2 linked regions of the Tamandua tetradactyla genome follow. The protein of the gene in region 2 interacts with the protein of the main gene of each other region in a pairwise test. Links are inferred from orthologs where the notes say so. Each region holds a gene or a part of one and is shown on either strand. Other genes may lie near its edges. The genes, in order: LAX1 and GRB7.

The links.
Region 1: the proteins of GRB7 (region 2) and LAX1 interact in binary tests that used the Homo sapiens proteins (3 or more experiments, as listed by UniProt). The two-hybrid records come from large-scale screens. The link is inferred for Tamandua tetradactyla from reciprocal best matches to the Homo sapiens genes GRB7 and LAX1.

The regions. Positions count from the first base shown.
Region 1 is NC_135330.1:61,099,967-61,115,385, reverse strand, and holds the start of LAX1 (lymphocyte transmembrane adapter 1), read right to left. Parts: upstream 5,676-15,419; 5' UTR 5,429-5,675; intron 5,012-5,428; 5' UTR 4,918-5,011; coding exon 4,829-4,917; intron 2,130-4,828; coding exon 2,020-2,129; intron 1,577-2,019; coding exon 1,466-1,576; intron 183-1,465; coding exon 97-182; intron 1-96. UniProt on the Homo sapiens protein: Negatively regulates TCR (T-cell antigen receptor)-mediated signaling in T-cells and BCR (B-cell antigen receptor)-mediated signaling in B-cells.
Region 2 is NC_135332.1:27,549,407-27,564,353, forward strand, and holds the start of GRB7 (growth factor receptor-bound protein 7), read right to left. Parts: upstream 6,916-14,947; 5' UTR 6,746-6,915; intron 6,090-6,745; 5' UTR 6,081-6,089; coding exon 6,032-6,080; intron 5,072-6,031; exon of another isoform or gene 5,030-5,071; intron 2,647-5,029; coding exon 2,490-2,646; intron 2,388-2,489; coding exon 2,237-2,387; intron 2,053-2,236; coding exon 1,896-2,052; intron 1,759-1,895; coding exon 1,637-1,758; intron 1,545-1,636; coding exon 1,467-1,544; intron 1,169-1,466; coding exon 1,031-1,168; intron 701-1,030; coding exon 590-700; intron 377-589; coding exon 278-376; intron 74-277; coding exon 1-73. Other genes in the region: MIEN1 (migration and invasion enhancer 1), read left to right, coding at 11,612-11,700, 11,803-11,900, 12,303-12,379, 12,460-12,543; ERBB2 (receptor tyrosine-protein kinase erbB-2), read right to left, coding at 13,967-14,334, 14,456-14,732. UniProt on the Homo sapiens protein: Adapter protein that interacts with the cytoplasmic domain of numerous receptor kinases and modulates down-stream signaling. Promotes activation of down-stream protein kinases, including STAT3, AKT1, MAPK1 and/or MAPK3. Promotes activation of HRAS.

The sequences.
Region 1 (15,419 bases), on a different chromosome or scaffold from region 2:
GAAAGGAGATGCCAGGCCTAGAATGCTTTTGCCTCAGTTCTTCTCTCAGAGATACGTCCTTTCTCACAAGGGTTTGTCTTTTCACTTAGCTCTTACCACGTACTCAGGGGAAAGGCTATCAGAATTCCTGGAGAGGAGGCTGTCAGTACTGAACACTCGGATACTCCTTGACTGGTGTCTTCCTGAAAGCACAGAGAACAAATTCTGAAGATAGTTAGCCAGTCCTTTGAGGACTTTGCACCCTGGGTGAAACTGGGTGTGTGGGGTGTTTGGCATTTCCAGCCTGTGGCCTGGGGGTCTGTGAAAGGGGCCCATGCTCGGGGGTTGCAACCCTGGGCCCCTCCTCGGCTTCTGTGGTGCTGGAGGACACCAGCACAGGGATTGGGGGTGGTGGGAAGGAAGCTTATGTGGAAGGCCCACCAGCCTTCAGTCCTGGTGGCCGTGCTCTCCTCCCGCATGGCTTCCCCATGCTGTTCTTGGACAAAGGCCATGGATTCTTTTGCCCGATGCACCCAGTAACCAATTCCTGAGATGTCAGGGTTTCAAAGAGTTTATTACTAGGCTCAGAGTAGGAGAGCAGATGGCCTAGCAGCCCGAAATCTGTCTCCCTGAACAGCAGTAATTCTGACAGTTTTATAAAAGAAAAAAAACAGGGTTTAGGATAATGAGCACAGAGGCCCCAGATGATATAATTAGTGGTGATTTACTTATTGAGCATGTGCATATTGATTACATGCTTAGTCACAGAACATGTGTAAGAAAATGGCGGGACAAGGTACAGGTGACTTGTAGATTAAAATCTAAGCTACTGTGCATAATCAGGCAGTCCCACTTTGGTTAGGTCCAGTCTCGGTTATCAACATAACTTTGGACTTGGAGTAGGTTAGCTCTGGGCTGACCCATGACCCTTCATTAATAAACATTAGGGACTAATTTTAGTGATTGCAAGAGTCTAAAGTAAAAAAACTGGATAACTGGGTATGAATGAAGGTTAGTCACAAGATTTTTACAGTCACAGGGGCAGAAGATCAAGGCTATACAATCATTATCAGAGATCCAGGCAGCAGGATTACAATTTAGAGATTTCAGGGATTTCCCTCTGTCTACTCCAATATACCAGAAAGCAAAAAGGAATATCTAGATAATGATTCAGTAATCAAAATCATCCCTCAAATCCTGATTTCTCAGTTATGACACCTAGACACTCCCACCTTTCCTCTGCTAACTTAAGCTAAGGAAAAACCAAATCTCCCAACCCAAGTGAGTCTCTGCTTCCTTTTTAGAGTTTCCTAGGCCCCCACTGGAGCTGTATCTTGCCGTCTGTCTGTCCCATTCTCCTTGGTGCTCTCTGAAAGGGAGACAGGTTTGCAAGGTCAGAGCAAGTCACTTCTGAGTAGTGAGAGGGGCCTCCTGGGGAGAGAAGTTCAGTGTGTCTGGACTCCCCAGGTTAGAGGGAAGAACTCACCCAGCTCTTCTTGCCTCCGAGGCAAGAGGTCATAAATATTTTTGGCTCGTTGTCTGGGTCGAGGCAGGGTCAGCAGGGGCAGGAGGGTGACTTGGAGGTAAGGAACTGGCCCTGCAAGGCAATGGGTGAGGGGGGTTGCTGCAGGGGGCAGAGGCACAGAACAAAAATATTCCCCACCCTCTCCGTGAATCATAAAATACACATTTTCGGATTTGGCCAATCCCATTTGATCTAGAAGAGCAGGGGACTCAGTGGACAGAAGGGAAACCTGGGGCATAAGTGCACCAGGCCAATGACTTTCAAAATGGAACTCACATCAGCCCTCAGCATTTCCGTACCGCTGGTCAGTATCTCGAGTGAGACAGAGAAGAACAAAGAATCCAGGTGTCGGATAAGAAGGGAGGATCGCCCACCCCTTCCCCGCCACCCGTGCAATCGTTTATCCCTGGAAAATAACCTGGTGAGGGAGAGTAGATGGGCAAAACTGTTTTTTAAATGTCGAATTTGATTATTAATCCTAGAGTGTCTCAACGCGGGACGAACAAAGGACTCACGCTTCTTCCGCTTATTCCAGTTCCTCAGGATGCAGAAAACCACAATGACCAGGAGGACGGTGAGGAAGGCAGCAAACCCGAACAAGATGCCGCTGCTCTGGCCTTCACGTCTAAAAAAACAAGCGCCGCACCCCATCAGAGGAGGGCGAGTGATGGAAAGCCCAGGTGGGAAAGGCCGTGCGGCAGAGAGAGGGGCCACCTCTAAATACTGACTTCGCAGAAGGATGGAATTTAGACACAGGATAAAGGGAACCAACCCCCCCCCCCCCCTTGAATGCCTACTGTGTGCCAGGGTTTCCATGTGAAACCTGTTTAACTTTTATAATACTTTCTCCCTTAGTGGTCAAGGAACACGAGATTCAGAGTAAGAGAGGTAAGGTAACAACAAAGACCACCCAGCTGCTAAGTGACTGAGACGGACTGTGATTCTAGATCTGCTCAGGTCCAAAGGTCATGCCCCACCCCACCCCACCCTGCCCCACTGTCCTCCAAACCTAGAAAGTCAAGTCCTTCTGCTCGTGCTTCCCCCATTTCCTGCTCTTGGGCTTTCTGGCTTGCACGGAAAAGAGGATGATGACCCAGCTCATCATTAGGGAGTGGCTCTGTGACAGTTCAGCTTGTATGAACTTGAGTAACCACCACATACCAACATGTGGAACTAGTCTCCAAGCAACACTCTGCTGTTGTGTGAAATTTAACCAATGCAAATGTACTGAACGAGTTCTGTGCTACTTTGTAATTCCCAGCAGGGCTGGAGGTAATACTATGCTTTTCTTTGGTGTTGAAATGCATCCAGGTGAGTACAACCCAGGCAGCTGCGCCTACTGTAAAATGAAGCAGCCAAGTGAGTAGAAACAGGAATTCAGTAGCAGTCTTCCTACCCTCATAATATCAGAGTCATCTGCCAAGGAGGGTTTTGCCCTCCTGGGTTCTAGGTTTGTTTATCCAGCTTTTTCCTAGACATTTCTACTAGGCTACCTGATGGACATCTCAAGCCAAATATATCCAAAACTTCTGTTCTCCCCATGAACCTGCTCCTTCCCAGTATCACTCATTATCTGATGGCTCAAACCCTTGGAGCCATCAAAATCTTGGAGCCATCCTTGATGGCTCTTTTTCTTTCATGCCCCACTTTCAGTCAATCAGCAATTTCTGTCTGCCCGACACTGGGCATCAGTCACAAACTCTTCCACCTCTTACCTACTCCTCTGTTCCCACCTTGGTCTAAGCCAAAGTGAACCTTTGCAAAACCTCCTTCGCTGGACTCCTTGCTTTCACTTTTGCTCCCAACCTACTATCTTCACACATGAGCCAGTGTGGTCCTTCTCAACAGTAAATCAGATAATGTACCTCCTCTGCTTGCAATCCTCCATGGCTTCCCATCACACTTGGAATAAAATCCGTAGTCCTGACCTAATGAGAATTTAATTAAGACACCATATGGTCTGGCTTCTGTCTACCTTCCAACCTCATTTCCTACTACTTGCCCTCTGACTTCTGTACCTTGACCACTAAGACGCCTTGTGGTTCCTTGCCTATGCCAAACACAGCCTCGTAGACCCACTGCTCCTGCTCCTAGGAGCCCTCCTCTCCCAGCTGTGGGCATGGCTCACTCCCTCAACTATTCGGCTCTCTTTTGAAATGTCACCACCCCAGGCATGTTTTCCCTGCCCACATCTTATTGCTCTCTGTCTCCTTACCCTGCTCTATTTTTTTTCATAGCATTTATGACTGATTAATATTATATTATACATTTATATATTCACTGGTTTATCTGTTTATCATTGGCCTCCCTGCCTTGACTGTCAGCTTCTCGAGGTCAGAGATTTCTGGAGATCTATCCTGCTCACCTAGTGACACTATGCTTTTCTTTGGTGTCGAAATGCATCCAGGTGAGTACAACCCAGGCAGCTGTGCCTACTGTAAAATGAAGCAGCCAAGTGAAGTAGAAACAGGAATTCAGTAGCAGTCTTTCTACCCTCATAATATCAGAGTCACCTGCCAAGGAGGTGCCTGGGAACAGTGCCTGGGGCTCAGCAGGGGCCTGGTGAATATTTAAGTGAATGAGTGAATTTTAACAAATAAATCAATGAATACAGAAATAGTTTGGGGGTCTGCAGGGTTCTGACAACTTCCATGTTTATATCTGCCTGTGAGTGGAATGTTTTTGTCATAGTAATAACAGTTATTTCCAAAAACTATGACAACCTTAAAATTTATTGTCATGGGATTCAGTTATCATAGCACTGACATTTATACCTATGATATTACTAAAGTTTCAAGTATTGATGGATATTTGATGTTTCACTTGTATGAGATTGAAAGCTTTAGCATTAAAATTTACATCATGGATTAGTTCTGTGAGATTTTATATCCTAAAGACATGTCTTTATTACATCTATTATTAATTTTTTAATTCATGGCAAGTCTTTAGGACCTAAAAACAAATCATTGGGGAAAGTGGGTCTTTTTGTCTCCATAATCATGGGATAGGATAGGATAGACTGAGGACAGAGATTAGGGTCTCTAAGAAGTGAGAAAAACAGCTAGGCCAAGCATCTGGCTCCAAGGAAATCCTGTGTTAGCATAGCTTTTCCTCTCCCCCAACAACTCCCTTCTCTCCTCAACATCTCTTCCTTTCTTCCCAGCATCTCTGGGCAAACTTCTCTGAACCCAGAGTTTGATGGTCTCAGTGGACCTGAGCCTGATTGTGAGCGTGGCTGCACAGCTGTGTTAGAAGCCCTCAAGGGCAGATTAGGACCCTGTGTTTGGTCAGGGATGGTGGAGCTGACCTCCCTAAGTCACTCACCCGTTCAGGTTGCCAAGAGTTGCCCGCAGAGTGCTCGGCTCCAAGGTCCTTCCTCTGATTTCTGAAAGGGTTGGGGTGATGCCATCCATTGTCACAGGGTTCAGCTTCTCCTAAGACTTCTCTTGATCATAATCAACCAGCCAACATGCTTGTCTCTTTTCCTGGCTCTTCCTAAATTGCTGACTCTCAAGAGAGAAGGCAAATTGGTTTGTGTTTCGCATATAGTCCTGTGGGGGTATAACTACTCTGTTAGCAATGATGTAAAAATGACAGAAATTCTCATCTCCATTTCTTCCAAGTACTCCCTAAATCATAGCTTTTACTCTCAAGATTTCTTGTTCTTAAAGCCTTGACTGTATAATTTGGCAAAATCTAGAGTGGAATTATTAAAAAAAAAAAAAGAAAGATTCCTTGTTCTTAAATGTTTATCACTTTTTAGTCTTTCTCTCAAAAAAAGTCTTTTGGTTTATATTTTTTTCTAAAGCGCACAATCTTTCTTTCTAGAACTTTCTTTCCCCCAACAAACTCCCCGCCCAGTCCTTGCTCCTGAAATGTCAGGCTGAGTTGACGCAACATGCAAAAACGACAGGTTGGTTCTACCTGGAAGTGGCTATGATGGCCACTGCAGAAGGTGAGGTCTTATCCCAGCACTGGGCTCGTGAAGCAGGTGGCTCAGCGAGCGTCCATGGTCTCTGCCTTCTGGTGGAAGGGCGAGGGGTACAGAGAGGGGAACTGCCAAGAACCCCAGGAGAGGCTCCATGGGCAGCTCATTCCCCCACCCTTAAGCTGAGAGTCAGAATGGAAAGAGAGAGTCAGTCACAGGAAGCGACACCAACCAATGTGTTAATGAAACATGGGGCACAGGAAATGCTGCTCAGCTTTTAATAAGAGCAGAAAACATGTCTTCCACCCACCCTGCGCCTCCCAGGTGCTTGTGGTCTGGATGAGTGTGATCAAAAGTGGGGCAGCATGGTGGGGGTTTTGTGATTGTTCCTCCAGGGTTTCTGAGACATTTAGAGTTTTGTAACCTCTAGGTTAATATGTATATGCAGTAGATCTAAGGAGCACGGGAGGGTGCTTTTTAGAAACAATTGCAGATCTCTGGCACTGCCTTTCTGATTCAGTGGGTGGAGAATGCAAATGTGGCCAGCTAAATGGCTTTTCCAATAGACGCGACTTTGTGATTTTGGTAGAGATGGTCTGTTTTTTCACTTTTTGAGAAATGTGCTCTGGGTATTACACCAAGAATGGAGCTAATACTGGGTTCTTAGGCCCTTGGAGGCTAATTCTCCCAACTGCTGTCCCTGAAGTTCTGCTTTCAGAGGTTCATGACCTCAAAGGCTCCTGCAGACTGCTTATCTCCTGTTCTCAGGAGTCTTGAGAAAAATCTATAACAGTTTTGCTTATTGGACACCTGTCTCAGAAGATGTGTAATTCATCCCAGGTGTCTACCCAAAGTATCCCAACTTCAAAGATAGCTCAAGATTTGTTTCTAACTCTCTTTCCCTCTTCTCTCTACCAGTCTACTCTTTGCATCCTGGAAGTGCTCCAGGAGAAAGGGTACTAAGACTATTTTGAGGATGTGAAGTAGAGCCTTCACCATCCCCAGTAGACATCAAGGTGTTCTGCTTCCCTGAGCCATAAGCCCCTGCCCTGAATCCAGGCTCCCGCAGGCTCCCTGTGATGGTTTGACACAGAAAATATCATGTTCTTAAATCTAATCCATTCCTGTGGGTGTAGACCTATGTAGGTGGGACTTTTTTTTTTTGAACATTTTTTATTTTGAAATGCATAGCCAAAAAAGCAGTAAATTTCAAAGTACATCGTAGCAAGTAGTAGATGTACTACTTGCTAGAGCAGATTTCAGAGTTTATGAGCTACAGTTCTCCAATTTCAGGTGTTTCCTTCTAGCTGCTCTAAGACACAGGAGACATAAAAAAATCAATATAATGATTCTGCAGTCATACTCATTTATTAAATCCTATCTTCTCTGTTATAATGTCTCCTTCTCCTTTGATCCTCCTCCCAATCTTTAGGGGTATTTGGGCTCTGCCCTTTCTACCTTTTTCATGTTGGAAGGGGTATTGATAATATGGGGCAGAGGGATGGAATCAGTTGATGTTCTGAAGAAGCCCCTCTGGGTTTCAAGACTTACCTGGCCTAGGAAACTGTCTGGAGGTTGGAGGTTTCTGGAAAGTAATCTTAGTTTGTGAAACTTTTGTAGAATCTCAAATCAAGCTCTAGGTGTTCTTCAGGTTTGGTTAGAATGGTTTTGGTTGGGGTTTGGCAAATCGTGGTAATTAGCAACATCTACTTAAAGCTTGGTTACCTCCAGCATAGCCTCTTGACTCTATTTGAACTCTCTTAGCCACTGAAACCTTATTTGTTACATTTCTTTTTCCCCTTTTGGTCAGGAAAGCATTGTCGATCCCAGAGTGCCAGGACCAGGTTCGTCCCTGGGAGTCATGTCCCACATTGAGGACCTTTTGATGAAGTTATTTTGATCGAGATGTGACCCGCCTCATTGAAGGTGGATCTTACTCCTCTTATTGGAGTCTCTTATAGAGCATAAAAGACAGACACCATGCAGAAAAAAGCCCCAGAGAAGCTAAGAAAGCCAGAGAAGATGAGAGAGAAGGGCACACAGAAGCTCAGAGAGGAAGTCACTGAAGCCAGAAGCTAGAAGCTGAAGAAAAAGGAGAGACCAGCAGACATTGCCATGTGTCTGGCCATTGACAGAGAAATTGAGGATCGCCAATAGTTGATCTTCTGGGAGAATATATCTTTCTTTTGATAAATTAATTTGGACATTTTTTATGATCTCAGAACTGCAAACTTTTAAGTTAATATATCCCCATAGCAAAAAGCATCCCATTTCTGGCATACTGTATTTCTTCAGCTTTCGCAAATTAAAACACACTCCCACGGGCTGCAGATTGGCCCTGGAGGCTCTCCTGAGGAACTCTGCCATTCCAGGGCCTACTGCCTCCTTCCGAGGAGCTTTGGCTGGCAGGAAGCAAAGAAGACTTAGAGATGGCTGTCCCAGGTGAACCCAGGTTCTGTATTGACTTCTTCTGTGGATTGGGCATGAGGAAGAGCTAGGACTTTCCCATGAATAAGATCCTTCATTCCATCACACTGGTGACTGGGACTGGTGAAAGAGAGAGGCTATCTGTTTGAGTTTGCCACAGCTGCTAGAAGGGACCACACAAGAGATAGGTCAGCTTTATTTTTTTCTTTAAGATTTTTATTGATAAATCTTCACACACAATCGTCTTCAAGAATCAAGGCTACTGGAACACAGCTCAACAGTTTCAGGTACTTCCCTCCGGCCACTCCAATACACCATAAACTAAAAAATGGATATCTATATAATGCATAAGAATAACTTCCAGGATAACCTCTTGACTCTGTTTGAAATCTCTCAGCCACTGAAACTTTGTTTTGTCTCATTTCTCTCTTCCCCTTTTTGGTCAAGAAGTCTTTCTCAGTCCCTTAATATGGGGTTCCAGTTCATCCTGGGAGTTTTGTCCCACCTTGCCAGGGAGATTAACACTCCTGGGAGGCATGTCCCATGTATGGGGGAGGACAATGAGTTCACCTGCTGAGTGGGCTTATAGAGAAAGGCCACATCTAAGCAACAAAAGAGATTCTCTGGGGGAGACTCTTAGGCCTAGTTTTTGTGTGTGTGTGAGTTTTCAAGTTTTTTATTTCAGAGAAATATCAAGATACAAATGTTTTTACAATTCACATATGAAAATTTTATCTCTTAGGATATCATAACATTTAAAATATTTTTTATCTAATTTTATTATAGCTGCTTGTGCTTTCTTTTGATTACAGCTTTCATAGAACATTTATTTCGATCCTTACACTTTCAAGCTGTTTGTATCCTTGAGTCTAAGATAAGTCCCTTCTGAGCAGCATAAAGGTAGATCATATTATTTAATCCATCTGTCAATCTGTGTCTTAATTAGTGAGTGTAGCCCATTAACATTCAAAATTATTACTGTAAAAGCAGTTCCTGGGTTTAGCATCTTATTGTATATCTATAAATATGGTAGAGTTTCTTAAATTCTAAATATTAAGTGCTAAGAAATAACTTAGACCTAATTTTAAGTAGGCTTAGTCTATCCTTTTCAGGAATAAGTTTCATAGGGGTGAACCCCAAAATTGTGGGCTTGGCCTATTGATTTGGTTATCCCCACTGCTTGCGAGAATATCAGAGTTTCTCCAAATGGGGAAGTTGAATATTTCCTCCTTTCTCCCCATTCCCCCAACGAACCTTGCAAATACTTCTTTACTCATCGCCCAAGTTACTCTGGAATATATTGGGGCATCACATTAGATAGATTGGCTTTTAATGAGGGGATTTATTTGGTTAAAAATTTATAGTTCTTCTGAGGAAAGGCAGCTAGCTTTCATCTGAATTTCTCTGTCATATGGGATGGCACATGGTGATGTCTGCTGGCCTTCTATCCTGGCTTCTGGGTTCCAGCGACTTTCCCTGGGGTGATTCTTTTCTATGTTTCCAAACATCTGGGCTGAGCTGTGAGTGCTGAGATGAGGTATGTTGAGTTGTTTTGGGCTGTGTTGCATTGAGCTCTCTTCTGACCTCTCTCTTTTAAGCCTCCAGCTAATTAAATTAAACCTCACTCATTATAGAAGGCATGCCCCTTAGCTGATTGCAAATACAATCAGCCATAGATGAATTTCACATACTGATGATTTAAGGCATCAGAAACAGAACAATGGGGCATCATCACCTGGGCAAGTTGGCACCGAACCTAGCTACCACACTACCCCATCCTGAGCCATTGGAGCCAGGTCTGGTAAGGGACTGTGTATGACCAGGAACTTGGAACAGGGTAAGGTGGGTAGAACCAAATCTCAGAACCACATCTCCTTCCACTTAGGAAACCTGATTGCTACTTAAGTTTTTTTTTAAAACTACAACAACTTTCTCCTACATGTGACCATTTCAGAGCCTCATTTCTCTTATTTACTCAGCTAGCTCCAAACAAAGTGATATTCCCTCTGGTCTTCTGATCTCTCTGCATCCAAACTCCCTCCTCAAAGGAGGCTACGCAAGTCTTTTGCTTCCAGGCTGCAGACTTGGCTGATCTCTCCTCCATCCTGCTCTCCTTTCCCTACCAATGGGGCAAAACCCAACCAAACTAACAAATTAAAACAGAAAGTAGGTGTCTGAAATTGTTAATTGTAATAGTGGAAGAAAACCATTTGTTCCTGGGATAGAGGGTGTATGTCTTAAAACTGTTTGCTCTAATGTTTCCCTTTAACCCCTTTTAATGTTGTTAAATGTATGATTATAAAATATTAAGATTTCTGGGGACGGGCTTCACACTGATTCGGTGATGTTGCTAACACAGAAAACCTTTCAGAAGTCCTCTTTGAGAAGACAGAAGCGGTGGTTAAGAGTTTCAACCTGAATTCAAATCATAAATTACTATGTAGAGAATCTTGGGCAGGTCATCTAATCTTTCGGGTATTTTCTTGGAAGTAAAATGACAATAATAATAGTACTTGCCTATTGGTTAACAATGAAAGATGCTTGATATTTGTAAAAATGAAGACAAACTGCCTGGCTTTGGAGTTGATGCATTACTTTCCCTGCTGCTAAAACAAATACTGCAAAAAAGCTTGGCTTAACAACAGGAATTTATTGGCTCATGGCTTCAGAGGCTAGAAGGTTTTTTTCATCCTGAGTCTGGTATCTGCTGGTTGGCCACCAGTCTATGGGGTTCTTTCATGTAGGCATTTTCCGTCACATGGTAGTGCACATGGTGGCATCTTCTCCTTTCTCTTCTAGGTTCTTTTGACTTCAGGCTGTTCCCCATGGCTTCTCTCCATCTACTTTCACTCTGCTTATAAAGGACTCCAGGGATCTGGATTAAAGCCCAACCTAATTCAGATGGACCACACCTTAAACTGAAATAACATCTTAGAGAGTTCTTATTTTCAATGGATCCACACCCACCAGAATGTGGGCCAAAACCAATAACGTGTCCAAACGGGGGTATGCAATTCAAACCACCACAGTTGGCATGTGCAAAAGCTATTAAATGGGGACTGCTACATATTATTCTGACATTAGCCTTATTTTCTTTATACTGAATAAACTGCCTTCTTTGGCCTTTCTTTTTTTCTCTCTCAATGCTTGCTCTGCCTTCCATTTGTCACCTTCTTCTTTCAACACATATTTATGAGAAGTCTCCTACCTCAGGACACTAGGCACTAGGTTTGTAAATAACAGAGATGAGGGTTCCTGCCCTTGTAGAGTGGCCTGTCTTCACTCACCACCCCTCTTCCATGCATGCTGCATTTACATGCAGACCTAGTCATTGTCACTTTTGCACTCTGAGCCTTTGGACGAGTTCACTCATTTTAACATGTTTCTTTTTCTCTTGCTAAATTCCAGTAAAATCACATTTTAAAGATAATACCAGATGTTCAGGGGAAAGGGGAAGAGAGATGAACAGGTAGATCACAGGGCATTTTGGGGGCAGAGAAACTGTTCTGTATGATACTGTAATGGTGGATACATGACATTATGCATTTGTCAAAACCCATAAAACCATACAACACGAAGAGGGAACCCTGATGTAAACTGTAGACTTTTGTTATTAATAATGTATCAATATTTGTTGATCAATTATAACAAATATACCACACTAATGCAAGATGCTAATGGTAGGGGAAATTTATATGTGTGTGTGAGGGGAGAGGATGGCTCTGTAAACCTAAAACTGCTCTAAAAAATTGAGTGTATTTTTTAAAAAGTTAAAAAAAAACTCTATTTAAACAAAAAGTTTATTCGGGTTATTTCTGAGTGGTGAGTCTTTGGGTATTTTGTTATTTTCTTTTTAGCATTCTTTTTTATTGCTTGAATTTATTATAATGAGCAAGTGTGATCTTTATAGCAAAAGAATTTTTTTTTGTATGGACAGGCTCCAGGAATTGAACACAGGTCTCTAGCTCGGCAGACAAGAATTCTTGCCACTGAGACACCTTTGCACTACCCAAGTGTGATTTTTATAAAAAACAAAATTGTTATTAAAAAAAAGAGAGAATATGACTCAAATGTCAGCACCTCTGGAAAGCTTTCCTTTCCCAAGCCCTGCATTTTTTCTCTCCTGCAATTAACTCCATGCCACTCTGCAAGCAACTTTTTACAGTGTCTCAAGTTGCTGGGAGTACTTGCTTAGACACTCCCTGAGTGGACTCTGAACCCTTTAATGATAGGGACTGTGTTTCATTCTTGCTTACCTGTATTTAGCACAGTGCCTGACCGTAAGGGTTAATAAGGCCCTCAGAGAAGTTCTCTCAGGTGCTTCTTGCTGCCTTGAATTTATAACATACGTTTGTAACAGGGTGAGATACTGAAAAATAAATCAGTATCTAGTATTGTTTTCCTGCTGTAACTCATCAACCAAAGAAACCCAAGACAATCCTTGCACAGTCCTCCTCGCCCCTCCAAGGAAGGACAGCTGGGGCTTGTGTGTTTGAGCTGCTTTGTCCTAGGGAAGGTATTATTAACTGCAGCTTTTTGTATTTCTAGGCCAACAAATATCCAAATTTCCTTGTGAGAAAGAACCCCTCAATTAGACTTTGTTTTTGAAGGTTTCAGGGAGGTCCGAGATAATCAAGGCAGAAGGACAGGCAAAGCCTTCGTGGCGGCCACCCCAACCCTCCTCATTCCTTTGCCTGCATCTTAGAGGCCTTCTCCAGTCCAGACAAGTCTGAAGCAGAAAATGAAGGCAGCAGATACCTTTCTTTTAAGTTAAAAGTTGTGAGAGAGCAGGGTTAAGTCAGAAAGATTTAGAAACTACTCTTGATGAGCCAGAGTAATTTATCTGTCATTTCTCTGTTCCCTACACGCCCTTTCTTCCAGGACCCTGGGGAAGAATGACGAGAATTCAGAATCAAGGAGTACAGCCAGGCTAGAGGACAGTAATTCTAGGCTCCTTACCCCACAACAGGCCCTTAGGCGGAGCTCCAGCGGAGGAGGTAATTTGATACTTCTGACAGCTAAGAGTCCGGGAGCCCTGAGAGCAGAGTGGACGTCTGCCCCCAGGTCCTTCTGCAGTTCTATGTTTGGCAGCCTCTCCAACACCCCTTGAGTCATACTAGCTGGAAAGCCACAGCGCAGAAATGGCTGCAAAGCATGTCCAGATGAGAAAACATCTGCGGACAGCTCCAAGACTTCCCTCATCCCCAAAGCTGTGCGAGAGTGGGTGTCCCTCCCTGAGGTCATAGGCAGATTCTGAACTCAAGGTCAGTTAGGAACACAGCCAAGGGAGCAGGCGAGTGGTCAGGAAGGAATCAGATGTGGGCACTGTGTGTCTCAGGGGGACATGGAGGGCAGAGAGCCTGAACAGAGAAGAGACAGATCAAAGTGGTTTTCCTTGTTCTCTTCTTATGTGAGTGAATATCACTTTACTCACCAGGGCTTCCTGAACAGGCTATATATAGCAAGCAATATCCCTTAATTAAATTCATAGCTTTTTGAATATCTTTTTTTTTTTTTCTGCTATTCTGTGTGTTGTAGGAACCACAGCACAGCAGTAGGGCTTGGATTTACCTCATCCCTTAGCAGGAGCCTCAGCCCATGTATGGCATGTGTACTAGCTAAAGCTGCCTGGTTTGTTCATTTTTCCCTAGACGGCAGCCACTAACCAGCAGGGTGATTCCCATTAAACTACAGGATGGATCATTGCCGTTCTCTGCTTAAACTCTCCAGTGAATCCTTATTTCACGAAAGCCAACCTTTTAATGCTTTGCAGGTTCTTCCCCCCCACCCCCACACTCCTCCCTCTCTGAATGTATCTCCTTAACTGACCCACTTAGTCGTTCAATTACAAACGTGGAATTGCATGTCCTTAGACTAATCAAGGTCTCCTGGCTCAGGGCCTTTGCACTTGTGGTATCCTTTGCTGAAATCCTTTTCCTTGGCAGAGTGACACAGGTCTTCCTTCAGGTCCCATCACAAATGTCTCTTAGTCAGAGAGGCCTGACTACTCTACACGAAGAAGCAACACCCATGCTCCTCTGTTCTCTTTACTCCACTTTTCTTTTTCCCCAGTCCTTACCACTATTGATCCGATATGTATTTGTTTCGTCTCTTCTCCACAAGAATGGAAGTTCAACAAGGGCAGGAATTTAGCATTGTTTTCTGTTGTATCCCCAGTGCATACAGTGGTGCCTGGCACAGATATTTGTTAAATGAGTGAGTGAACCAATTCAAGGGAAGGAGATGAGACCATAAAATTGGACTGAGAAAGACTTTTCAAAGATCTAGCTAGTTCAGTGTTAGATTTGACTTGATCTAGAAAAAGAAAAAAAGGATATTTCTTGCATTTTAAGGATTGTGGAACAATTTTTTTTTTTTTTTTTTTTTGCATGGGTAGGCACCGGGTAACGAACCTGGGTGTCCAGCTTGGCAGGGAAGAACTCTGCCACTGAGCCACCATTGCCCAAATCAAAAATTTGTTTTTGATTGCACATATTAAGTGGCTAAGCGCTAAGTGAAGCCTGCCTGCACATGTCTCTGAACACAGTGTTCCATGTACACAGAATGATGCTACATTCAGGGGAGGTAAAGCAACAAAACAGAAATGCCATTTAGACATTCTTCATTGGTTATTAATGGCAATTTTAGACTACTAGTAGACACTAGTAGATAAAGATGAGTGTCAGAGTTGGAAAGAGCCTTAGATCATGTAGCAAATCAGCAACAGGGCCAGGATTATAATATAGGCCTGCAAATTCCCAGGCCAGGCTCTTTGCAACAAAGCTCAAAATGAGATATCCTTTTTTTTTTTTTTTTAATACCATTCCTTTGAGTTCAATCTCTGGATTCCCAAATGACTCTTCTTTTCACAACAAATTCGAAAATGAAGACACTTACTCCATTGCCAAATCAGTTAGATAGTCTCAGCAGCTGGGCTACAATCACTGCATTTCTCTCTATTTTAATTTGTGCATAATTGATCATTACTATGGGAAACAGTTGAGACAGGATCAAATTAGGCTTGCTAGTATTTAAACACACACAACTTATCGTTACAGTCACCCAAATTTGGATGATTTCAGCACTGACTATTTGGTTAATGAGAAGAGCAGCATTTCAGAACCTGCAGGAAATCTTAGAAATGGCTAGTTCATGGTGCTTTTAAGTCATTTTTAAAGGTGACTTGGAAGCCAAATACATTAAAGAGAAAAAAAAGAGTCTTACTATCTTCTCATCAACAAAGACAAGGTGGGGGTAAAGGGGGGAAATACAAGCCCAGGCTCTGGAAGGATTCTAGTTGTGGGTATGTGCGTGTGTGTTTGAGTATATGCATGTTTTGCAACCCTTTTTTAGCAAGGGTATTTAGGAGGGACTCTACAATGGGAAAAACTAAAGACTTTAGTTCTGTTTTTGTGACTCTCTTTCATGGCTCCTGTTACCAAATAAGCTCTGTGTGCAGTTGTAAAGAGCTAGGTGGGCAGCATGTCTGTGTCTGAGGAGCCCACCCTGGGATAGACAAGAAAAGTGGGTACAAGACTGCTTACCACAGAAGCCTTTTTC
Region 2 (14,947 bases):
GGGAACCCCAATAGGATGGGCGAAGGTGGCGAGACTGGGCCTGCTGGTAATTCTTATACAGCTGTGCCCCATACTAGTGGGGTGGGGAGAGAAAGAGGGCCTGAGGTCAGGCAGTCCTGGGGCCGGGCTGTGACTCCCAAGAGCAGGGCAGGGTCTCTGCCATTGGGTAGGGAACTTCCTGAAGCCAGGGCTGGGACTCCAGACCTTGCACCAGGGGTGCTCAGAGAGCAGGGCTGTGCCACCCCTCATGCCAGGGATCCCAGGGGCAGGGTCTCACCTTGAAGAGGCGGAAAGCAGCCAGCCAGCAGGTGCGGCTCTGCTCGTCCTCACTGCAGAAGATGCGGAGGCCCTTGTGGCCATTCCGAAGCTTGTTGGGCTACAGGGAGAGGAAAGCAGCTGGTCCCAGATCTATCTTTAGGACCAGACATCTGTCCCCCAACTCCATGGAGCAAGGCAGAACTTAACGGCTCTCCAGCTGGGACAGGGCGCAGGGAGAAGAGTTTGGGTGGCCCAGAATGGAGCTCAGAAGCCCAAGGTAGGATCCAGGACCCACAGCAGCAACCACTCCCTTCCAGGCCAGGGTCTTCACCTTGACACAGAAGCCGAAGTCCGTGGGCATCCCGTAGAGCTTGCGGCCCTGGGTCACCATGTACACATTAGACTCGTTCACGTCTGCCACGTACTGCAAGTGCCTGGGGTCCTGAGCGGCATGAGTGAGCCCAGTTTGGTGCAGGCAGACCCAATGCCCCCATTACCAGCCCCGTAAACCAGGGGGGAAGATTCAAGCCCAGAGACGGGATGGGAAGCGTCTGAGGTCACACAGCACACCTGCCCTTCCCAATGCGGGTAAGCTGGGCAGGAGGGTAGGGGCAAGAAACCAGAGGGAGTCAGCCGGGGGAGAGGACAGAGCAGCTGAGGGTCTCAGGGCCCAGAAGGGGTGATCCACGGGTCTGACAGGGAGTGGGTGACTTCTAGAAGGACTAGAGGTGGGAAGCCCCAGCTGGGGCTGGGGCTGGCACAGAGCCCTCACCTTGGAGGTGCCCTTGGCGGAGTAATAGAGGCCAGACCGGCGCAGGAAGCAGAAGAAGCGTTTCCAGAGCTTGCGTCCTGATCCGCGCAGCTGTAGGAAGCCCTGGATCTCAGGGAAGCTGCCCGCATTCAGGAAGTTCTTAGGCCAGAGGAGAGCAGGCGGAGGGTGAGAGGCGTGGAGGGGATAGGCAGGACCCACCTCAAGGACTTCAGGGGACCCTTTACCAGGGGAGGTGCTCCCTGTGCATTTATCGTCCCCATTTTGCAGAGAAGGAACCACGAGCCAGGGAAGTGGCTTATCCACAGCCCCGGAAGGCAGCTGGGCGCTCTCCACCTCATGGAGGGAGGCACAGGTCTTAAGGGCTGGAAGCGTTGGGGGATGCTGGGGCAGGGGTGGGCGTGGGCATGAATGTGAGGGGAAATGGGGGTCCCCTCACCTGAATGAGCTCTTCATGAGATTTGCCCGTGTGTGTATCAAGACAACTGGAAACCATCTTTTCTGGGAACAGGGAGTGCTGGGGAAAGGAAGACGTCAGAGGTCAGGGATCGTGGGTCCCCAAGCTGGAAATGGGGGTGTCCCAGCACCCAGAACTTCACACACACTTACTGGGGAACTCTTGAACAACTCATACTTGGCGAAGTTTTTCCGGAAGACAAAGCGGCTGTCTCCGCCAACGGGCCAGGCAGCCTGCACTTCCACCACGGACTCATGGTCCTCCAGGCCCCGCTCTGAGGTCAAGGGCAAAGGACAGGGGTCAGTGGAGACCCGCCAGGCCCCCCACCCCCACCCCCAGAGGACCCACGTGCCTAGGCTGAGATGTGAGGCATCTCCCACATCCAGGCAGCTCCTCTGCACCCCAACTCACCCAGTGCTAGATGGGGGTGGCACTCCACCAGCCCCCAGTTCTCATCACTAAGGGCATGGGCTCGCTGCACCAGCATCTCGCACACATGGCGAGCCGTGGCGCCCGCTGCCACCTCCACAGACCGGCAGGTGCCGTCTTCACTGTACACCTTGACCACCTGCAGCCCAGGGATTACAAATGATCTGGGGGAAATCAAAGGATGGTTCTCTCCCTTTCCCCACGTGCTAACACACACGCGCGCACACATCCACACACATCCACACACACCCAAGGTAGTGCTGTATCCACCCCAGGGCCTCCCTCCCCCTTCTTGCCTTCCCTTCTTTCCCAGGAAAACTCACATGGGGGCGACTGGCATCTCGGGAGAGCAGACCCCTTGTGCTGGAGGATCCCCCAAGAATGGGGCTGTGTGAAGGAGGACTGCAGAGCTCAGGGAAGGGGTTGGGGATGGAGGGCAGAGAGGTTGCCCGTAGCTCTTCCTCCCGAAGCCTCCTATGGGGGCCGGGGTGGGGGAGAGTCGGCTGTCATCCCCTATATATTACCTGGCGTAGACCTGCCTCCCCGGCCCCTCCCAGCCCCACTGCCCCATTGTACCTGCTGGTGGGGATAGGCAGGGGCTGGGACTTCTTCACCTCCCCGGGCAGAGGGGAATCAAGGGGTGGGGGAGTTCCAGGGGGGGTCCCAGGGGCTGAGGAAAGATCTTCTGGGGAGCTGCTGAGATGAGGCAGAGACAGATCCAGCTCCATGACATCTGAGGGAGAAGAGGGAGCTGAATGCAGCACTTATATGTCCCTGTCCTGGGGAGAGAGGCCAAGGGGACCCAGACCTCCTGCTTGCACACAGCTATCAGGGTTCACACAGCACCTCACTGCTCCCCCTCTAACTGGATTTTCCACAGGGAAGGATAGAACGGGCCCCAATTTTTAAAAGGGGACTCGGAGTTCCTGAGAAAGATGCATGTTTGCCCTGGGTTACAGGTGAGTCAGGGGGCTGGAACTTGGTTTGGGACTCCAAGTTCAGTGCTCTTCCTTTAGCCCTGAGTTGTCCAGGGAAAAAGGGCTAAGAGGGCCCCCTCCCCCTGCCCAAGCTTGGCAGCAGCAACAAAGACTGCACAACCCATAGACTGTCTGGGGCTCAGGCTCTCAGTGTCAGTGCAAAGGGCCACCTCTCTGCCTCCAAGCGTGGGGCCCTCACTCTGCTGGGCTCTGCCCCGGGTTTTTCCAGTGCTTTGTTGTCAGACCCAGTTGCCAGAGCCTGTTGTGGCAACGCCTGCCCAAGTGATGAGTGATGCACAGAAGGGGAGATGGGGGTGGGGAAGGGCACGACTGGAACCGGGAGGGCAGGAGGGCAGACTTCGCTGTGATGGGAGGGGAAGGTCTCGCCTCAGGGACTTTGCCCCAGCAGCCCCCAAATCTGGCACCCCAACCCAGGCACCTCCTCCTGCCCAAATCTCTCAAGCCCCAGTGCCACCTCTTCCGAGCAGCCTTCCTGGGTTTTCCACATCCTGCCTGTCAGCTCATTCTTAGCACTGTGCTGGGGCCTCTGCACCAAGACTGTGTGCCTGTCTCGTCCACCCCCTACTCTGACACTCCAACATCCCCAGGCAAGACCAGTCTTACCTGTGTCTTACCAGCCATGGGTGCTGCACAGGCACCCAGGGCAAGTCAAGATGGGAAAAAGATGCCCACTGCTGGGTAGAGGCTGTGCTGGCCCCTTCTCCGCAGGAACCAAGCAGGCCCCTGGGCTGGGCTGTGTCCTGGGAGAATCTGCCCAGGAGAGTTTGCCAATCCCAGCTGGTTCCCAGGCCCCTGTCCACTCCCAGGACACTGGCCAGACCAGTCCTAAAAGGCTGCCTAGGGTACCTGGCATTGCCCCCAAGATGGGCAGACACCTGATCTTAAAGTGAGAGCATGGGGGACTTTGGGGGACAGGTGAGTCAGGGCAGGGTGGGAACAGCACTGCCTGGGCTCTCCATTCAACCTTGACTCATCTGCACAACTTCCTGGCTTAGGAGAAACACAAACAGCTCTGCCTCTGCCCCCCCCCCCCCACCTGCACCCTGCCACAACCTACTGTATCCTGGGAGGAGTGGGGGCGGCACAGGGCAGGGAGGAGGATGCCTGGTGGAGGATCCTCTGACATCATCTCCTCCCACCTCCGACTCCCCCAGTCCAGGTGGATTCCACAACCGGCCTGACCTCAGGCCTGAAGCCACCACCCAGCCCAGGAGCCCCTGGCCCAGTAAGGAGAGAGGAAAGACCAGGCCTGGATTCAGAGACCCATCTGGAGCAGGGCTGGCCTTGCAGCGGCACCCCATCCCTCCCCAGAGCAGCGCTCAGCATTCCCTACCAGGTCTCTGCTGCTGAGGCCCATCCCCAGCACCCAGGACTCAGCCAGCCAAAAGGAACTGTGTGTGTCACTCCCCAGGTCACGAGGCTCCAACCTACACACTCACGCACCCCTCCTGTGTGTCCTGGCCAAGGGGTACCACAGGGGCCAGAAGAGAAAGTCAAAACACCAAGAGGGCAGGTGGAGACCAGCAGACAGGGCGAAGGCCCTGGAGAGAGCCAGCCAGGGAGGTAGTCCCGGGGGGGGGGGGGGGGTGCAAAACACACCCCAGTGAGAACATAAACATCAGGTACCGAAACAGGAAAACACAATGCCCCAACCCCGCCCCCGCTGGCCTCTGGCAATGGAGCCCAGATGACCTCATTCCAGGGAGGGGAGCGGGGAGGGGCTGCAGGGGCTACCCAACCATGGGGTGGGGAGCGGACCCAGTCCTTCCCCACTCACCCGGGAGGAACCTGGAGGGCAGTGTTTGGCAGGGAGGTGTGTCATGGATTCAAATCCGAATAGTCCCAAATCAGAGGACCAAAGTGCAGGCTCAAGACTCGGGTTCAGGCCTTCAGGCTCCTTCCGACCTACTCTTCAGACCCCCACCCCCACCCCTGCCGGGCCAGAAAGGAGTGAGGCCGGCAGGACCACCCAGACGGGGTGGAGATAAAGGGGTCCTCTCAGAGGGGTCTGGGAAGCCCCTCCTCCCAAGAGATCTGGAGCTTACAAACTGGGTCCCTAGGAAAGCGTCCCTTGGAGAGACCAACCCCCGAAATCAGTTTGTCTCTTCAACGCTGTACCTCCAAAGCCGCAGCTCCCCCAACAGCCTCTCCTGCCCCTGCAGCTCCAGTCCCACCCTCCCGCCCGGCCGCCCAGCCTCCTGGTTTACTTCCTGAATCTTGCCCCACCTGGCTTGCCCCAAGGGCGGGTGACAGGACCCAGTGTTTAGAGCCAACAGAAAACAAGGCCACCTTCGTGACTTCCCAGGGCAGGAGCAGAGGCGTCCGCCGAGGGCATACAGGGGGAGTGGGGGGGGCCCCACCTGGCCAGGTACTCCACGCTCCGCCCTCCCCCCCCCCCCCCAGGATTCACTGACGGGGGGAGGCTTCCCCTTTGGGGAAGCTAGCCCAGGCAGGGCCCTGGGGAGGAGGCAGGAAACCCCTAGGTGACCTGGAATGGGAGGGGGGGGAGCCAGGACCCTGAGGCCCCGCCCACACCCTCACTCAGGAAAGAAAACAGCCAATGGGAAAAGTTGGAGGGGAGGGGGCAGCTCTTTTAAAGTTTAATTTAAGAAGAAGTCTCGTGTGGCCCAGTCTGTGGAGTTAATCATTACAGGCCACTCGCCTTTATGGAGATGCCCCCCCACCCCCATTCCCACCCTACAGCCGGCTGTGGGGAGAGGAGACAGCAGAGTCCAGGCCGGGCGGGCCGGGAGGGGGAGGGGCTCCCGGGGGCCGCGGGGAGGGCGTCCCACCTGCAGGCAGGTGCATTCCTGGTCCTCAGTGCACCAGGCAGACTCAGGCCCCGGACCCCAGTCTCACCAATGGGGGACTGCCTGTTGCCTACCGTTCACGCCCCCCACCCTCTCCCTAGGTCCCACCCAGCAGGCCCTCCCAGCTTAGCCCCCCAGCCTTCCTGGGCAACTTTATTCCCAAGCCTGGAGGGGCCCAGGGCCTGCCCCGCCCCACCCCCCAATTTCTGCCCGCTGCGGGTAGACCCCCGGGTCCCGCAGCTGGCCCCCAGACCTGGGCCCCCAGGTGCCACAGTCAGTTGAGATGGGGGCCCAGCAATTTAGAGAATACCTTTCCTTCGCTGCCCTGTGAGTGGGGGTGGGGGCTCCCGCGGAGACATCTGTCCAAACTGAGGACAAATGAGGCTGAGCGAGGGAGGGTAGTGGGGGCAGAACCCATCCCTCTCTTGCAGGGTGTGTGGGGAGGGAGTAGTTTCAGCGGGAAAAGTGGTATCTCCCAAAGGCAAGAATCCAAACTCTTACCTCCCCATCCCCATCAGCGGGTATGTCCAGAGGGTGTGAGGGGGTGTGGGGAGGAAACCCAGGAGCTGGGAGGACAGGAAACGAGAGTAGGGGAGGATGGAGGAAGGGGCGGGATGGGAGACAGGAGGGAAAAAAAACAGTGAGGCCACCGGAGCCACACAACAGGAGGCAGAAGCTTTCCAGGTTGACCCGGACCCCCAACAGGCTGGTGTCTCCACCCCCAAGGTGAGGTGGCTGCTCTGGTCCTTACCTGGTCCCTGCATGACGGTGTACCTGGCTGGGACCACTGGTTTAGGGGGAGACACGCCAGGCCTTAACTACCTGTCCCCCCCACCCCTCGTCCCCCAGCCCTAGCCAGACCCCGCCAAGAGGGAAGGGGAGCGGGAAAGCCAGCCCACACCTGTCCCCACACCTGGGCAGCCAGCCAGCCAGCCGCTGGCCCCACGTCGGGCACGGGCTGGGGCCCTGGTGCAGCTAGGGGTGGGGGTGGGATGTCGTCTGGGACCAATCTCGTTCCCCTTACCTAGAAGAGACCCAGCAGGAGGAGTCGGACACCGGGTCCCAAGGCGGGCTCTGTCTAGGAACCGGGGACACTTGGGTATGATTGCAAATCCGCTCCGGCTTCTCTACAGGTGGTGGGAGGGTGTCCAAACTTTGGACGTAGAAGTCGGCGGGGAGCCCTGTATGTCCAGACTTCAGGCCCAGGAAAGCTAAAATTATCTTGGGCAGGTGGGGGCGGGGCCTGGGGGCGGGGCCTGGGAGGAGGAAGCAAAGGAGAAGGGGGCGGAGACTCCCTGACACTCAACGCCGCCTGGGATTGTTTTCGCCCTTCCTAGCCTGGCAGCAGGTGCCAGGGGAAGGTGCAGGTGCCCAAAGAGAGGCGGGGAAGACAGTGGCACAGAACAACATCGAGGGAAAATCAAGAGGCCTGACAACCTCTGCGAGGTTGAGGGCTGGGGGCTGGAAGATAAAAGGAAACCGTGGACCCACTATTCCCCCTGCCACTCCCCAAACCTGGCCTGTTTATTGGCCAAGCTAGGGGGCCTGTCTGGGGCTCCAGGTCCCACCTCCTCGGGCAAAGGACACTGAGAAGGAGAGGAGGCAGCCAGAGGGGAGTCCAGCACCATGGCCTGCCCGTTCACCTCCAGCTGCATCACACGTAGGCTTCACCCTGACCTCAGGGGCACCCAGAGTGTTCTCCCTTCTGATCAAACCCTAACCAAACCCTTAGCTTCCCCCCTCTAAATTATAGGGGGCAGGTGGGATCCTATCTAAAATTGTAGGTGTGAGATTGGAGGAGCTGGTGATATGGAGAAAGCTCTGACCAGGTCGCCAGGGGCCACCCTGCAGAGTGACCCCTTTGGGTCGTTGAGACTCAGGCAAGCACAGGACAGGGAGAGGCGCTGAGATCAGACAGCTGAGGACTTCCCAGTCTGATGGGCTGACAGTTGGGTGAACAAACAATCCCACAGGATGATAAGGTGTGCCCTGGGGGAGCAGAGGAGTGGCTCCAGCCTCAACTTTCTCCAAACTGGGCATTCCTTGAAAAAAATCAGTATGACTAGGCAAAGCAAAGAGGTGGGAGAGGGAGACAAGGTCACCATACTGTGCAAAACGCAGAGTGGACAGACAATTCAAGCATCCACTCCTTCGTTCAGCTGATATTTGATACGCCCCAAATTTGATAAGCCCCATGCTATCAGCACCAAAAACAGACCCCACCCTTATCCCCAGGCAGCTCAGTCTGGGAGAATGAGGTTAACCAAGGCTCACACCAGTAAATAAGAAATGACAGGTGACAACTGTGCTGGGAGAATGACTAACACAGGAGTGGGGAAGACTTCTCTGTAGAAGTGACAATTGAGCTGAGGGAAGCTGACTGGGGTGCAGCTGGGGGACAACAGGTGGGGAGACCATACTGAGAGGCAGAGAGGAGGTGCAGGAAAAGGGAAGGAGATGAGGCCACACAGGTAAGACCTGGCAGGTGTGGGGAAAGGTAAGGGCCGTGGACTGCTCTCAGCTATGTTTCTCAAAGCAGAGTCTGTGAAACGCCTGCCTCTAAATCTCCCTGGGCCTGTGTACAAACAGATCTCTGGTCTCCTCCCAACCTGCTGAATGTCAGTCTCTGGGGCTGGGACCCAGGAATGTGTGTTATTGCAAACAGGGTTGAAGAGCAATTCATCCTGTCCGTCCAGACTGGTGGGAGCAGTGGGCAGAGGCCAAGCCCTGCAGGGGCCATCTGGGCTTAAGTGGAGGCAAAGGGCAGCAGGCAGATTCACATCTAGGAAAGATGACTCTGGGTAGAGAGGAATGGGGTGGAGAGGCAAGCCAGGCTCAGGGCAGCAGGCAGATTCACATCTAGGAAAGATGACTCTGGGTAGAGAGGAATGGGGTGGAGAGGCAAGCCAGGCTCAGAGGGCTGAGTGCTGTAGGAGCCCATGTGTACGGCTTCTGAAGGGAGTTGAAAGCAGGTGTGGGGATGGGGAGGGGGGCAGGGATGGGAGCAGGGCACAGGGGCCTGTGGGGAGGGAATGGGGCTGGTCAGTGTCACGGTCCTGGAGGTGGATGCACAACTGTGTGTGTTGGTGAGGCCTCAGAACCACACACTCAAGAGGGTGGGTTTTACTGTGTATAAATCGTATCTGCATTCTTTAACAATAATAAAGAAGAAGCAACAAGAACAAAAAAGTGGATTTATACATCCATGGACAGAATCGAGTGTCCAAATATAAACCCCAGCATTTCTAGTCAATCAGTTTTCTACAAAGGTGTCAAGACAATTCAATAGAGGAAATGATAGTCTTTTCAACAAATGGTGCCGAGACAATCTAACATCATATGCTTTAAGATGAATTTAGATCCTCACCTCACACCATGCACACAAAGTATCTCAGAATAGAGCACAGAGACTGCAGTCATGTGAGACAGGCCCCACTGGAGCAAAGTGCAGGTTCCAGCTCCTGGAAACGGGGTGGTCCTGGTATGCCCAGCACCCAGGTGGCCCCGTCTGCGGAAAGAGTGCCAGGCCAAGCTGAATGAACGCAAGGAACTATAGGACAAGAGGAAGGGAGAGGCCATTACTGCAACGACCTGCCTGACAAGCTTTGGTGGATCACCTTGTGTGGGGGTGGCCGAGTCCTCCATGGACCAGAGGCTGAAGACCACCAGGCGAAGACCAGTCCAGGCTGCCAATATGCCAAGCAGACAGGCCACTGGACTGCGATGGTGGAGAATGTCAACCAGGTACTTCAAGAAACAGAGATGTGGAGACCTGGGCTGGAAGTATGGAGCTGTAATTCACATCATTGTCACCACACTGGAATATGGCCACAAAGGGCAGCTGTAGTCTGCCCCCTCCTGCCTCTCTCCCCTTCCCCCCATCTCAACCGTCCTACCTCACCCCTGGAGTCAGGAAGAAGGATGACAGGACATGAATAAAACACAAACCTCCATTTTTATAAAAAAAAAAAGAAAAAAGAAAAGGCCATAGACCTAAATATAAGAGCTAAAGCTATAAAACTCCTAGAAGAAACTACAGGAGAGAAATTGTCAGGACCTTGAGTTAGACAGAGCTCTTAGATACAGCAAAGAACAAGCTACAAAAGAAAAAAAATAGATAAGTTGCATCTCGTCAAAATGAAAAACTTTTGTGCTACAAATAATACCATCAAGAAAGTGAAAAGACAACCCACTTAATGGAAGAAACTATTTGCAAATCATATATATCTGATAAAGTACTTGTATCTAAAACACACAGAACTCTTAAACTCAGTAATAAAAAGACAAATAATGCAATTAAAAATGGGCAAAAGACTTGAACAGGCATTTCTCCAAAGATGTACAAATAGCTAAATAAGCACATGAAAAGGTGCTCAACATTATTAGTCATCAGGGAAATGGAAATTAAAACCACAGTGAGATACTACCTCACACCCACCAAGACAGCTAATCAAAAACAGGCAATAACAAGTGTCAACAAGGATGTGGAGAAACTGGAATCCTCATTCCTTGCTAGCTGGAATGTAAAATGGTACAGCCACTGGAAAAGCAGTTTGGCATTTTCTTTAAAAATTAAACATACACGGTGCAAGGGTAGTTCAGTGGTGGAATTCTCGTCTGCCATGCGGGAGACAGGGGTTCAATTCCCAGCCCTTTTACCCTTGTACTCCCGCCCCCCCAAAAAAAAAAATCAACAAATGATGCTGTCGTAACAGGATACTCACATGGAAAAAGAATGGAATGTGACCCCACCACACAGCATACAAGAAAAAAAAAATTAAACATAAACTTACCTTTTAACCCAGCAATTCCACTCCTAGGAATTTCTCCAAGAGAAATGGAAATTTATGTCCATACAAAGACATAACGAATATTTATAGCAGCATTATTCAAAATTAGCCAAAACGGGAAACCCAAATATTCATCAACTGGCGAAAGGATAAACAAATGCAATACTCCTCGGTGATGATAAGGAATAACTATTGATACATGCTACAGCATGGATGAATCTCAAAGCCATGCTGAATAAAAGAAGCCAGAAGCAAAAGACCATATACTGTGTGATCCGTTTATATGAAATGTCCAGGTAAGAATGGAGTTGGGTACATGGATTAACTGCAAACAGGCAGGAGGGATCTTTCCCAGCTGATGGAAATGTTCTAAAACTGGATCGTGTGATGGTTGCATAACTCTTTAAATCACTGAATTGCTAAAAATGAATGGGTTGAAGGAATGCTAGAGAGGGGAGATCTGTTAAGATATTGAGTTGGTACTCCATAAGCAGCGAGGACTTAGGCAGCTTGTTTCCAGAGTTGTAAAATGGAAATAATGATCCCAGCCTGTACTGAGAGGCTGGGATGAGATGGAAGTCTGCCAGAACTGGGCACATATGATGGAAGCATCGCCCGAGGAACGGGTGCCCCAAAGCCTGAGGTTCCCATGTGCAGGGAAGAGAGGCAGTTTAGAGCTTCCGAGTCAGAGGTACCTGGCTAGGTAATTCTGGAGCGGCTGAAAAACGCCATCAGAAAGTGAGAGCAATGGTAACTTTCACATACCATCAGGCATATCCAACCCATCCCCAAGACCCTGGGCTGCTCGCCCTACCGCTTCCTGCTCCTTTTTGTAAACTGAAAGGGATTTTCAGTCTTAAGATTTTTGCTCGGGTTTGGGGCAAGTCCGGCCCTCTGAGAACCCGGGCCGGGAGCCCGGAGCTTCGGACGCGAGCCCGCGAACTGGGGCGAGAGTCATTACGTAACAGCGGCTGCAACCTGCAGGGGGCGCCCGGATGCAGCGCTGGTCTCCGGCCCGGCGGCCCCGCAGCCCCGCCCCGTCACGTGCCCGCGCCGCCGCGTCACACCCGGAAGCCGCGGCCCGAGCAGAGCGGGCAGCGATGAGTGGGGAGCTGGGGCCAATATCCGTGGCGCCCCCTTCCGGGGAGGTGGAACCGGGAAGTGGGGTCCGCATCGTGGTAGAGTACTGGTGAGCGTCCCTGGCCGGTGGGGGCCCCAGGCCCGACAGGAATGGGTTCACGGGAAGCCCCACACCCGAAGCCCCAGCCGACCCCAGATCCCTTCTCCCCAGTGAACCCTGCGGTTTCGAGGCGACCTACCTGGAGCTGGCGAGCGCCGTGAAGGAGCAGTATCCTGGCATCGAGATCGAGTCACGCTTGGGGGGCACAGGTAAGGCCCTTAGAACACCTGCTGAGTCATTCTGCGTTCCAAATCCCAGCGCTACCACTTTCTAGCTCTGACATTGTCTGGTTTATAATAGTGTCCAGCAGTAAAATGTAAAATGGCCTAAGTGGGGGTGGGGGAGACAGATGAGTCCTGTAGGGAAAAACCGGTGAGACTGCCAAAGTGTAGTTTTTTGGGGAGAGAGAACACCACCGGGTGTTGAAGACTTCAGAGGGACACAGGTGGATCTTCCCTAGGTCCCTTTAACATGGGCTCAACATTGGTGGAAGGGGCTATAAATGAGTCTCTAATGGGGCCAATGGGGGGCATGGAGGATCCATTTAGAGAGCCTTCTTTGATATCTGCCTCTGCTCCCCGCATACCATTCATTCATCCATTTAATACCAGGGGCCTTTGAGATCGAGATCAATGGACAGCTGGTGTTCTCCAAGCTAGAGAACGGGGGCTTTCCTTATGAGAAAGACGTGAGTATTTGCAGTGTTGGGAGAACCCCTGGGTCACTGTCCCTACAGTGTCTCACACCATTCCCATCTCTGCTCTCTAGCTTATTGAGGCCATCCGAAGAGCTAGTAATGGAGAACCTCTAGAAAAGATCACCAACAGCCGTCCTCCCTGCGTCATCCTGTGACTGCACACGTTCCTGGGTTCCTACTCTGTTCTGGGGACCAAGCCTTGGTATCCCCTTTGGTTCTGTTGGGGCTCCTCCTCTGCCTCTTTTCCGTCACTGAGCTCCTGAAAGCAACAGACCCGACTTCCATTTTGCCCCTTGGGATGCAAGGGAGGGGAGGGGAATAGAAGCTTCTGTGGTCTTGGGGACAGGAGATCCTCCCCATGGACATTTCCACAGACCCCTTATATTCCCTACTCATAAGCAGTGCCCACAGAAGCCTAGTTTCTTCCTCAGCTTGACAATACTGTCAGATGCCACTGTAGTTTTAATTTATTCTTCAGTTCTGGGCAGTGTCAACTATTGGCAATAAAGGGCACTACAAACACTGTGCCAACTAGTATGTGTTTTATGTCCAGCACAGAGATGTGTGGTACAGGGGGCACCTGTACCAGCAGGGTGGCTATGCTGGGTAGGTAGGCTTTTTCTAGCTAGTTCCTTAGTTCTGTGGGTTCCTCTGACAGCCAAGGCTGGGAAAATGGGTCACAAAGTAGACACTGCCTCTTCTCTCCCCCATCCCCCACCCTCTTTACCCAGAGGGAGGAAATTGCCCCACTCTGGTGGGTGGCTTTAGGAATTAGTTCTAAGCAAGAATGATTTGGTTGTGAAATTCCCAGTTTCCTAAATGCCTCCCTTCCCCCCAAGCCAGGGAACTGAAAATCAGTCCCCTTAGTCAAGCTTTCTGGAGATTCCAAGCCACCCGCTCCAAGAGAAGAGTTGAGTGTAGGTTAAGGAAGGGAGCAGTTAGGGATGGCACAGAGCCACTCCCACACATAAGCTGGGACCCAGGTGTTTTCCAAAATATATTTGCAAATGGAAAAGGTAGGTTTGGAGTAGGGAGACATCCCTTTCCCCAACCCCACAGAACCCCTTCCACATATCATCTCTCCCCCCACGTCCTTATTTCATCTTTAAAAAACAAAACAAAAAATAAGTAAAAACAAACAAGAAGGCACTCTGTACAAGCTCCTCGGGGCAGAGCTGCATCTCAGGGGCACTGTTTCTGATTGGATTGCTCATGTTCTCAGAAACTCCCCAGGGCCTCTTCCCCTCCTAGGCCCAGCGTTCCCAAGTCTTTCGGGACCAGGGATCTGGAAGAAGGCCAGGTTGAAGAGACTGTGTCTGTGGCACCCATTGGACCCTACAATCTGGTAGGGCAGGGCTCCAGAAGAAGCACTCAAGACTCCCCGGTGCTCCCCCTTCTTCCAACCAGGCCGGGCCCCTCCCAGCCCCCTGGGAATGCTGGTAGGAAGAAAGGTTCCTTAGAACAGGTCCTTGGCATGGCATGCTCCTCTGGATGGTCAGAGGTCCTCTCCTCTCCTGAAGTCAAGCCCTCCCACTCCCTGAGGGCCCAGCAGGGCCTTGGCAAGCTTGGCTTTCTGGCTCACACAGGCACGTCCAAGCCCAGGTACTCGGGATTCTCTGCTGTCGGGGTCCCTTCAAAGGTAGTAGGTGGTGAGTTCTGCTCAGATGGGTTCTGGTCCCAGTAATAGAGGTTGTCAAAGGCTGGGCTGAAGGCAAGGGGAAGGTGAGGTGGAGGAGCTCCACCCCGGGGTGCCAGGTACTCGGGGTTCTCCACAGCACCCCCAAAGGCAAAAACGTCTTTAACAACCCCATTCTTCCCAGGGGAAAGAGTCTTGGGGGAGAGAGTCTTGGGCCTTTCCAGGGTGGCACTGGCAGGATGGGAAAGAGGCAGAGGGCCCTCCAGGGGTGAGGGAGGCTGTGGCCGAACCTCTGGCTGGTTCACGTATTCTGAAAGGGTAAGAGAAGGGAATTGTCAGGGGAAGGAACTCAGGTGTCCCTGCCACTGCCGCCGCCCCTCCCAGTGGACAGTGAGCTGAAGGCATGGAAGACCTGGCTGCCCCCTCCCTACCTCCCAGTTTCTCAGCTCGTTCCATACCCGGCTGGGGGCAGCAGGTCAGGGGGGCAACGTAGCCATCAATCTCGGGGGGCAGAGGTACTGTGGGATCCTCGCTGTATCGCTGTGGCGAGCTGGGGTCATGGGGGAGGCTCTGCAGCCCCTTGGCTGCTCCCATTCCCAGGTCACCATCAAACACATCGGAGCCAGCCCCTTCTGAGGGTGCCATTGGAGACTTGGGGGGTTCCTCCTCGGAGGGCTCCAGCCCCAGGGTCATCTCACCACCACCACTCTGAGGACAAGGGAGAAGGTCATAATGGAGGGCACTCATGGATCTGGGTTGGGGACTTTCCATGGGAGATGACGGTCACAGGAGATAAACTGCGGGCACCCTGGGGTATGATACAGTCATTGTGGAGCGCATGGGTTCACAGGACAGGCACCGGGATTGGAAGGCAGTAGTATCCTCCTTAGGAGTAATGGGGTCTCCACGAGAGACGATGAAGT